Linked DNA regions of Caenorhabditis elegans. The protein of the gene in region 2 purifies or fractionates together with the protein of the main gene of each other region. This does not show direct contact. Each region holds a gene or a part of one and is shown on either strand. Other genes may lie near its edges.

Region 1 (5,652 bases), on a different chromosome or scaffold from region 2:
TTTTTTTTCGTCAAAGTTTCCTTTTTTTTTGCTGTTTTATTAACATATTCGGCCAATCCCGAGGCTGCTAGAAATGGGATATTGTTAGCGGTTTTTTTTCGTTTTTTGATGGTTCTAATAAATGTGAAACGCGGTATTTTAAAAAATTTTCAGCAAAAAAGAAATGTTTTTGATTTTTCAGGAAATATAATTAAATAATTTTCAAAAATTGAGTTTTTCAAAAAAAAAATTCAGTAAATTTTCTGCAAATTTCTTTAAATGTAATTTTTTTTAATTTCACAATTTTTCATGAAAATTCCCTTTTCCGGTTTTTTTTTGGAAAAAATAGAAACCTTTTTTCAATTTCAATACAATTTTGAGCAAAAATCAGATTTTCCAGGAAAAAATTGATATTTCGATTCAAAAATTTCAAAAGTTTTTTTGCCAATTTTAATGAAATTTTGTGGTTTTTCTCGGAAAAATGCTTCAAATTGCAGAAAAGTTTGATTTCTACAACGAAAAAGTAAAAAAAATTCAACAGAGAAATATTAAATTAACAAAAAATGGGATATGAACAATGAATCTCAAATCTACAACTAAAAAAAGGAAAAAATAACTATAAAGATCATGAGGAGGGGAGGGAAACATGGATTTTTAAGCACAAAATTCTTCAAAATTTTCAGGAAAAAATGCGAAAAATTTATGGTTGTCCCTCGAAAGCCTTCGCAGCCGGATTGTCCTTTGGAGAATTGGAAAAATCTGGTTTCAAACGTTTTTCGACCATATCTCCGTATGGATTGAATCCCAATCGTTCCATTTCAGCTTTCATCAGCTTTTTCTTCGATTTCGGGTCCTTTTCGTCGTTGGTTAGTGGTGGAAGAACGTCGGTGAACACACCGGTTCCAATTGTTTTGGCTCCTTTACGAATTGTGAATCTTTGTTGGGGCTCGATGAACATTTGGGAATTCAGTGAGAGCTCGACTCTGAAAGAAAAATTGAATTTTTGATTAGTTTCAAGGGAAAAAACAATTTTTCAATGAAATTTTGAAACTTTTTGTTTTTTCAATTTTTCGGAAAATATTTAACAAAAATCTTAAATTTCAGTAGGCTCTCTTTTTTTTTTGAAGAACAATTGTCAAATAACAATTCTACCATAGCAATATGGCCACAAAAGTTGATTTTTAGTCATTTTTAAATTAAAGAAATAATTTTAGTAGCCAAAATTCTTATAAGTACGATTTTAAGCTCGTTTTCCGGTTTTTTTTTCCGATTTTCAAGAGAAAAATCTACAAAAGTAGCCTGATTCACAACACAAAAATTGGTGGAAAATGTGATTTTTCTGCCAAAAAGTGTCATTTTTTCGAGTAGAAAGCATCAATTACCTCACAAATCGCAAATCGCGAATTTTAGAATTAAAAATCCTAGTTGTCACGAAAATTGACTGGAAATATTGAATTTTCTGTCAAAATATTTTAGAAATCGGATCTATTGGAGAAATTTCGATTTTCAAAATTAAAAGATTCAAGATCGTATTTAAATAAAAAATACGAGAAATTAAGAATTTATAGTGATTTTTTTTCGCTGAAAATTTTTTATATAACTTTTTTCGTCTCTTTTAATCCGCAGAAAGATCACTTCTCCAATAAAACTATTTCTTTTGAAAATTCATTTTTAAATTCGATTTCTAAAATTTTCAGACAGGTAATTCAATTTTTGTAACAACTATGATTTTTGGAACTTAAAAAGTATATTTGTGATGATTTCTGCTCGAAAAACATGAATTTTCGACAGAAAACCAGATTTTCTTAATTTTTCAGAGTTTCTGTGCTGAAAATCGGCTAATTTTTGGTCCAGCAAAATCCCTTACTCCGCAGATTCTCCAGGCATCACAAAGTCTTTTCCAATAATTCTGACACTTGCTCCACTGTCCCATGTCAATGAGAAGACGTGCTCACTGAAATAGTTGGCAATCGGTGTCTTGGCGCCTCCTTCGCTCTCTTTGAGCACATAAAGTTGAGCTTTAACCTTATCAGTGACCTTATGTTTGTGTCCTTGTGGAAGTAAAACACATCCTCTACGAACATCTTTTGGTCCTAAACCACGAAGAAGCACACCCAATTGATCTCCAGGCTCGGCTTGATCGACAGTTTTACGGAAGGATTCTAATCCAGAGATTACTGATTTCACAGTGGTTCCATCTTTTGTTCCTCCAACAATTTCAATCTTATCTCCTCTCTTCAAAATTCCTCTCTCAAGCTTTCCAGTGATAACTGTTCCACGCCCGACGATCGAGTAAACGTGCTCCGCTGCAAACATTGGCTCCTCGTTCACTTTTCTCTCTGGGATCACAAATTTGTTATCGAGAACTTCAAGGAGCTGCTTGACGGCTTCTTCTCCAATTTCTGGCTGTTTTCCTTCAAGAGCACAGAGAGCCGATCCAAAGATAACCGGACATGTGTCTCCTGGATATCCAAACTCGTTGAGCTGCTCGCGAATGTCCATTTCTACGAGTTCACGGGTTTCTGCGTCGGGAACCTCGTCGACTTTGTTCATGAATACTACGATATTGTCAAGTGGAACTCCGACTTGACGAGCCAACAGTAAATGCTCTCTTGTCTGTGGCATTGGTCCATCGGTGGCTGCTACGACGAGAATTGCTCCCTCCATTTGTGCGGCACCCGTGATCATATTCTTGATGTAATCAGCGTGTCCGGGGCAATCGATATGAGCGTAATGGCGTTTGGCAGTCTCATATTCCAAGTGGAAAGCGTTGATGGTGATACCACGGGCCTTTTCTTCTGGCGCATTGTCGATATCTTCGTATTTACGGTATTTGGCTCCTTTTGATGTGGCGAGGACTGAAAATTGAAGTTTTTTGGAGGATAAAGGTGAAATAAGTCACAATTTTCTGAAAATTTAGATTTTTTAATGGATTTTGCTAGATAAAACCGGTGGAAAACGTCGTATTTTCAAAGAAATTCAACCCGTACTCTTTGTAATTGCCGAGGTGAGCGTAGTCTTTCCGTGATCGACGTGCCCGATGGTTCCCACATTCAAATGTGGCTTATCTCTCTTGAAAACGGCTTTTCCTCCTGGAACAGCCAGGTGACGAGCCTGCATCAACGATACTTGCTGCATTTTTTGCTCGCATAGTGTGACGGTCTCTGAAAACTCGAATTTTACGAAAAAAAAACAACTATTTTTTTCGTATTTATATGGCAAAAATGTATTTTGCAGAGGAAAATTTACTCGATTTCTAAATTCAAACTCACTGAAAACACCGACATTTCGGCTGAGAAGATTCAAAATCTGCATGTTTCCGGCAAGAGGCCCAAATCTGTAGTTTCCCTAAAAACAGGTGATTTTTTTAGAGATTTTCTAGTGATTTTGCAGCGAAAAGTGGCAGAACACACGGATAATCGATTTTTAATTCAATTTTATCAAAAAAATTAGAAAAAATCAATGAAATTGAAGGTTTTTCAGGGAAAAAAAGAAAAAAAAAGAAAATTAAATGATGCAAAAAGTCCGCAATTTCGGACGAACACAACACCGAATCCTACGACAAATTGCACACAAAACACCACTTGATGCTTGTCGACCGTACCCCGCGAAATCATCGGTTTGTTTATTTCTTCCGCGGTTTTTTTTTCCATTTCCGCATCGATTTTTAGCATTTTCATATGATTTTTAATCGATTTTTCACTGATATTCATCGAAAATAGCCCAAATTCTATGTAAATAGCAGAAAAAGTCATTGAAACCACGGAAAAACTCCCAAAAATCGAAGAATTTGCGGGGGGCCGCGAGAGGACAAGGTTTTCTGATAAGAAACGCGAGATTCGTGTAAAATACGATGATAAAGCCGCTGATAACGCTTTTTTGCCCGGCTAATTGTAAGAAAAAGCAACGAAATGTTGAAAATCAACTGGTTTTATCGAATTTTTGGCGAAAAACCGGATTTTCAAGATTTTCCGACCGAAAATGCGTTTTTTTCAGCGCAAAAGTGCGCGCGAAATTCAAATTTCATCAATTTCTAATCTTCCAATTGTTTTACAGCGCTTTTTTCCAATATTACAATATTTTTTGGCTACTTTTCAGTGAAAAACGAACAAAAACCGTTCCCATTCACAATTGTTTGCGGCCAGCAATACGAAAATCAATGAAAAACCGACGAATTTCGCAATTTTCTCGCATTTTTGAGGCAAAAAATCGGAATTTTCTGCATTTTTCTCACTTTTTCTCGAAAATGGGCCTAAAAATCGGGTATTTCTATGATAATTCACCGAAAATCCCTGAGATTTTCACATTTTCTAAAAAATTGTTAGGATTTGAAGCCTTTTTCCATTAGAAAGTTTTATTTTCAAGCCGTGAAGACTCATTTTTCTATGAAATTTGGGATTTTCAATCGATTTCCCGAGTTTTTAACAGAATTTCACTGAAAATCATTCATTTTTTGACCGATTTGAACCAAATTTTTGTTGAAAATTCCGGATTTTGCACATTTTCAATCATCTCCAGCTCATTTTCGACACAATTTGTGTGCTCCAGCTGTGAAAACATGGGCTCAAACACTGATTTGCTCAATTTAAATGACCATTGTATTCGGGTTTTTGGGGATTTTTGTGGTTTTCTGGAAAAAAAAAGTCCCAAAATAGTTTGAAATTCGGAAAAAAACTACAAAAAAAACCAAAAAATCGGGATTTTTTAATTTCTGCTAAATTCGAACTCCGCCCACTTTCTATGATTGGTTGGAAAGTGGGCGGAGCGATTCGCTGATTGGTCACAGTTCGAATTTAGCCGAAATTCAAAAATCTCAAGTTTAAAATTTGAAATTTTAGTTCCGTTTTTTAATTGTTTCTCCGGAATTAGAGACTATTTTAAATTACTAACTGATACAGTTGTGATCGTGCTAAGACCCTCTGTAGGCAGGAAGCAGGCGCGTAGGTCGCCTACGTAGGCGCGCAGGCATTTTTGTGTCAATTTTCAAATAAAAAATCGATTAATCCTGCTGCCTCTTCCTTCCATTTCAATAGATCATCTGTTTGTGTTCCTTTTCTGCTGACAACTACCTCTGACTGTCTGCGTCTCCCCTCTCCCTCCAATCTATCACCATCCTCGTGCAATAGTGTGACCCCCTTTTGAGTATTCTCCAATATTTTTCAAATATAAACAAATTTTCTACTTTTTCCAAAGTTTTGTTTAGTTTTTGATTAGTTGATAATATGAAAAATCTGGAAATTCGAGCTGAAATTTGAAGGAAAATCAATTTTTAACTGAAATAAAAATTTGAACATACACAAAAATTAGCAGAAAATTCATTTTTTCCCCAATTTTCGCGATTTCACTGCAACTTTTTCCTCACGAGGGACGAGGAAAAGTGGTTTCTAGGCCATGGCCGAGGGGCCGACAAGTTTCAGCGGCCATTTATCTTGCTTTGTTTTCCGTTTGTCTTCTTTCGTTTTTCACTTATTTTTTTCGTTTTTTCTTAATAAAACTGATAAATAAATATTTTTTGCAGATGCTAAAACAATTTCCAAGTAAAAAAATTATGTTATCAGCCGGCAAGCAGCGGTGAAAGTGGGCATTGTAATATGATGGATTACGGGAATACAAAACCTAAACTTTTTCTGAAACATGATACATATGATGCTTAAATGCTGAGACTACCTGATT
Region 2 (5,003 bases):
TCTGCACTTTTGCTCCTTCCAGCAACAATTTTATCATCTTTCTTTGTGGTTCCATTCATATCACCTTCTGAAACAAAAACAATGAGAGGATAAGTAGGTGATAAGTTGATGATAAGGAAGTGGTAATAACATAAAAATCAATGAACTCTAGAGAAACAAAAAACAATTGGATCACAGAGAGATGGAAAAGAATGCTCTTATCATTATCTTTTCTCTATCTTGAGAAGAGTGTGAATTTCCCAAAGAATCCCACAGGAGCAGGAGAGAAAGACACGGGCGAAAAAAAAACAGCAGAAAACGCAAAACGCATGATATTCTCTTTGTGTATTCTTTTACTTCTACCTTTACAACAGCGGTGCTCTCTCAAAGAGAGCACATAGGCGTCACGTCTTGATACACATTTGATGATGAAAAGGAAAAATGACGATGAGAAATGAGGAAGCTTGAGAAGAAAACCGAAGAAGAAAGATTGGGGTTTGTTGAGTTGTGTTCCTTTGGAATGTGGTATGAGAACTTGAGAAATGGGAACATCTGGAATATAAAACTATGAGGAATGTTCGGTGATCTTTCGTATTTTTTGCCATGTCAATGGAACTGAAACCGTCTAACTTGATGATAATGACCAAGATAGTCCCTTCAGTTTTGGAACAAGAGTAACAGACTCAGCAACAATATTTGTTTCAGATTGTCTTGATAAATTGCCAAATCTAAGAACGATACAATTTAGAACAATATCGCATGTTTCAACAAAGAGCTCAGTGATACTACAGTACACCTACATCACCAATTACTCCTACAGTACCAATACAGTACCCCAAAAATATATATGTTTTCTGAGTGTTCTCAGCAGTTTTCTCGTATTTTTACTATATTACAACAATTGTTTTAAATTTTCGCGGATTGTGACCTTAAAATACATTTGATTTCGACAGAAATCCGAGTGACCATGAATTTCTGAAATAAAATAAATGCATTTTAATCGTCTTCTTGTTCAATTGTTTTCCACGGAGGAATGTTCTGAAAATTGCAAATGTTTATTTTTTAAACTTTAAATTCAATTTATATGTCGATAAATTTATTTATCGATTAACAAAACAGAGAAACAAAAGCATTCTAAAAACTAATAAGGCATGAAAATAAAGTTACTACCACTTTTATCTAATTATTCGCTTCCAAGCTCTACACGAACAAAATCGAGAATGTTAGCATTGTGGGATTTTAGGTACTCATGAACAGATTGAGATGGATTCAACATGAAGGCTTGGCGGAGAAGAGCAGTTTCCGATTCATCAATATTAGTTACAACAACTGGATCAGCATTTGGATCATGCCCTTCTTGACTACGAAGCCCTTCTTGAGTTTTCACAGATTCTGCAGCTTCGCCGAGGGATTCCGGGGACATTCCGATAATGTGCTGGCATATCTGTCCGGCAAGTTGCTGACTACTGATTGACCCTGTAAATGTTAAGACTTAATTTTTTACTTTATTTCTTTGTTTCACCTGGACTCGATTGATTTAGAGCGATGAGTGAAATGAACCGTCCCATCGGGATATCATCAGTTCCATCTTTAGGATGTGAAGCTCCAAACAAAGTTGTTCCTTCGGGAGCTTTAAAAGCCTTAACTCTTCTCACTGTCATGTTCTCACCAAGCTTTCCGATTGAAAGGGAGAGCACTTCACGCATATTTTTTCCGTCGGAATCGGTCAGATCCCCAAGATCATAGGTGAATTCTTGAAGTTTTGAGCCGCTCGATATAGATTGTGGCTTAGCTTTTGCGAGAACAGAGTTGGAGATGTTTGACAACAAATCCTTGAAAGCTCCAGATCGCGCCACAAAATCAGTTTCACAACTGAGTTCTACCACAGCTGCTGTTGAGTTGTCCGTGACTACAGATACAAGACCATTCGATGTTACACGAGTTCCAAGTCTGGAATATTCTATAACTATTAAAATAATTCCTTGTGAAGTCAACATTCCAAATTAAAAAAATTTCAAAATAAACACTTACTTTGCCGCTTTGGCCCATCCTTCCTTCGCTGCAGCTTCTTTCAACCATTTTACAGCACTATCCATATCATTTTCGCCAAACTGAATAAGTGCTTTACGACAATTCACATAACTATAACCAGTCTTTTTTCGAAGAGCCATTAGAGCCTGAAAAACAATTATTTTTTATTTTTTAAAATTAATTAGGGTTCCTAGATTTTAATACCTCTTTAGAGACTTTCTTTTCGGCCTCAGCCAAGTTTCGACTAGTCGTTGATAGTAGACGTACAAATGGAGCTCTAGCAAACATTTCTAAAATTGGAAACTTTAGTTTTCAGTCAATATTGATAATTATTTTAAGAGAATAAAGCAAATTATGCAATTTTCTGGGCATTTTTTGCATTAAAAAATGAAAAGGCAAGTGCGCCCCAATGAGAAAGACGGCCGCGCGAAAGAATTCGTTTTGAACATAACAAGGAAAATGTGTTTCTTTTTTTTTAATTGCGAGGTAAATTATATTATTGAATTATTTTATTGATTATTTATAATTATTTTTAGGTGAAAACTTTAATACTATTATTTTTTGCTATTTTTTTGTTGAAATAAATTCTATAATTCCATAGAAATTTTCAGTAAAGAGATCAATGCCGAAGAGCAATCCGGTAACACCTAACAAACAACCATCAGAAGACTGGAATGAGTTACTCACAGAGTTCCGTGGAAAAGGAGGTCGGGCTCTTCAGAAAACATTCATCAGAAAATTGTGGGCAGTTCAAGAAGATATTATTGCCAATGCAAATCCATCGACTCTTCGGTGTATTTTCTTCGCACCAGCCTTGTTGATTTGTCCGGAAGGTATAAAATTATCAGCTGAAATTCTCCCAAAAATTGGTGTTGGAAATGGACTGATACTACTCGAGAAGTTAATACTAAAGTTCAATCTCACCGAGTAAAGTTTATACGCTGAAGAATTCCATTTATATATATTTTTGCAGCACTGAATGTCAAAGGTATGGTGAAGTATTCGTCACAGCTTGGAGAAATGCATATCAGGAGGCTAACTTTGATTTGACAGAGGAATTGGAGACCGATGTGATCAGTGTCATGTGTCAGCATGCATTATATGCTCACAGGCCTACCTGCACTAAATTTCAAAATGTGATTGCCGCATTTGCACACGCGAAAAAACTGGACAAAAGTGTAGATGAAATGGTGACAAGGCTTCTCAATGGATGTCTTTACCGAGCGCTGGACGCTCCAAATTACATTGTACAGTCATCAGCTGCAGAAGTATTTTTCAATTTTTACCCACTAATTGGCGAGGATACTGAAGACATGGATAGGATAATGGAAAACCAACATCGATATATGATGGACTTATTACGTAGTGATGTTATTTCCATTCGAAGCGAAGCCACGAAACATGTCTTGAAGGCAATCAGCGAATTCTGGCTTCTTATTCCAAAAAATATCGTGAAGGAACTCATGGGATACATCATTGATACAGTCGCGAAAGACACTGTTGTCAGCGTCCGCGTCGCCGTTTTTGAAGGTCTTAATGAAATGGCATTTGTTCCGGCATGTCTCACAGCATTCGAATATGGATTGAAATGTGCCGTTGATCCAGCACTACAGGATAAATCTGAACGAGTTCGTCTTGCTGCTTACCAAATAATTTCTCGTCTGAAGAATCATAAATTTATTAGGTAAAATGAACCCAAATCAACAAACTAAAAAATAAATTTTCAGTGTGTTCGATATCATTACTCGAGATGATGCCATTGCGAAACTCGATCTGGAAAACGTAGAGACCTGCCGCCGTCAACTGATTCCAATTATGCATATTTGTCTTCCTATCTCGAAAAGTCTGGATGAAGCATACTATCGTCCTCGTGTCAACTACATGTTAGGAAAAAGTCGATTGGCTCTTTTGAGTTACTTCCGATTGCTTGGCCCAATGAAAATCATTGATGCATCCCAAGCATCCAAACTTATCGAAATGTTTATAACCTGGGCATATCGTTATCTTCGTAAAAAGGATGGCCCTCCATTACCAGAGACTGCCGAAGGATACAAAAAAGCGAGAGCTTATCTTGAGTGTGCTCTCATTCTGTACATGTCATGCAAAGGAGTTAGTTTTCTATTTCTCAAATTTAAAATTGAAGACCTTTTTTAAAACATTATAAACTTCTAAACTTTTTCAGATGCTGATGTCAGATGGCGATGGAACTTCAAAAGCGAAATGTGATCAAATATTTGGAAAAGTTGTCAAGGAAATATTTGAAAAATACGCCAACACTCCTATTCTCGGAACTGCGACAGCAATCAGCAGTGTCATTCCTAAAGATTACCTTAAATCAATTGCTAATGATGTTCTCGCAAGACTGGAAGACGACGATGTTCCTCCAGAAGCAGTTGAGCCGTTTCTTGAATCTGCAATTCATTTCAACCCGGATTCTGTTTTTGATTCATTCGATAGTGGGCTTAATGTTCTTGTAAATTTGTATGGAACGAAACAGAGTAAGAAGAAACGACGTGAATTGGAGGATCCAGAAGATGTACTGATTATGACGTTGAACCGTCTCAAATATTTGCTACAGAGTCACAGTACATCAAATCTTATTGCAATGAAAGATGAATACCGAACTAAAGTCTTGGATTTGTTGAAGGTTTGTGTATTAGTTCATTATTGAAACAATAATATTATATTTAGAAAATTGATCTAATTCGAGAAGGAATTGAAATTAGGCTTGCAAAAGAAGAAGGCCAGGAGCACACTCTCAGTGATGATGTTCTTCTGTCGATACTCGAATTTAGATTCATTTTGCCCTTTTTCGCTGCAACTAATGGATCTGAAGATGCTGCGGATCGTAACCAAACTATCGAGTCAATGAAAAACCTTCTTCTTTGGTTTGAAAAAAATATTTCAAGTCAAATGGCGACTTTTGGTGAACACAATCAAGATTTTCTCATTCAATTAACAAGTACATTCTTGAATTGTGTAAACGTGTCACT

The links. Proteins that work in one complex are often made in the same cells at the same time.
Region 1: the proteins of tsfm-1 (region 2) and tufm-1 purify together in Caenorhabditis elegans (co-purification; one study listed by BioGRID). This does not show direct contact.

What each region holds. Positions count from the first base shown.
Region 1 is NC_003281.10:2,811,643-2,817,294, forward strand, and holds tufm-1 (Elongation factor Tu, mitochondrial), read right to left. Parts: upstream 3,328-5,652; 5' UTR 3,295-3,327; coding exon 3,252-3,294; intron 3,144-3,251; coding exon 2,970-3,143; intron 2,838-2,969; coding exon 1,847-2,837; intron 963-1,846; coding exon 680-962; 3' UTR 501-679; downstream 1-500.
Region 2 is NC_003283.11:12,269,252-12,274,254, forward strand, and holds tsfm-1 (Elongation factor Ts, mitochondrial), read right to left. Parts: upstream 2,301-5,003; 5' UTR 2,299-2,300; coding exon 2,215-2,298; intron 2,157-2,214; coding exon 2,011-2,156; intron 1,930-2,010; coding exon 1,502-1,929; intron 1,456-1,501; coding exon 1,163-1,455; 3' UTR 1,020-1,162; downstream 1-1,019. Other genes in the region: twk-24 (Potassium channel domain-containing protein), read right to left, coding at 1-59; capg-2 (CAP-G condensin subunit), read left to right, coding at 2,633-2,937, 2,984-3,694, 3,738-4,119, 4,193-4,657, 4,702-5,003. UniProt on the Caenorhabditis elegans protein: Associates with the EF-Tu.GDP complex and induces the exchange of GDP to GTP. It remains bound to the aminoacyl-tRNA.EF-Tu.GTP complex up to the GTP hydrolysis stage on the ribosome.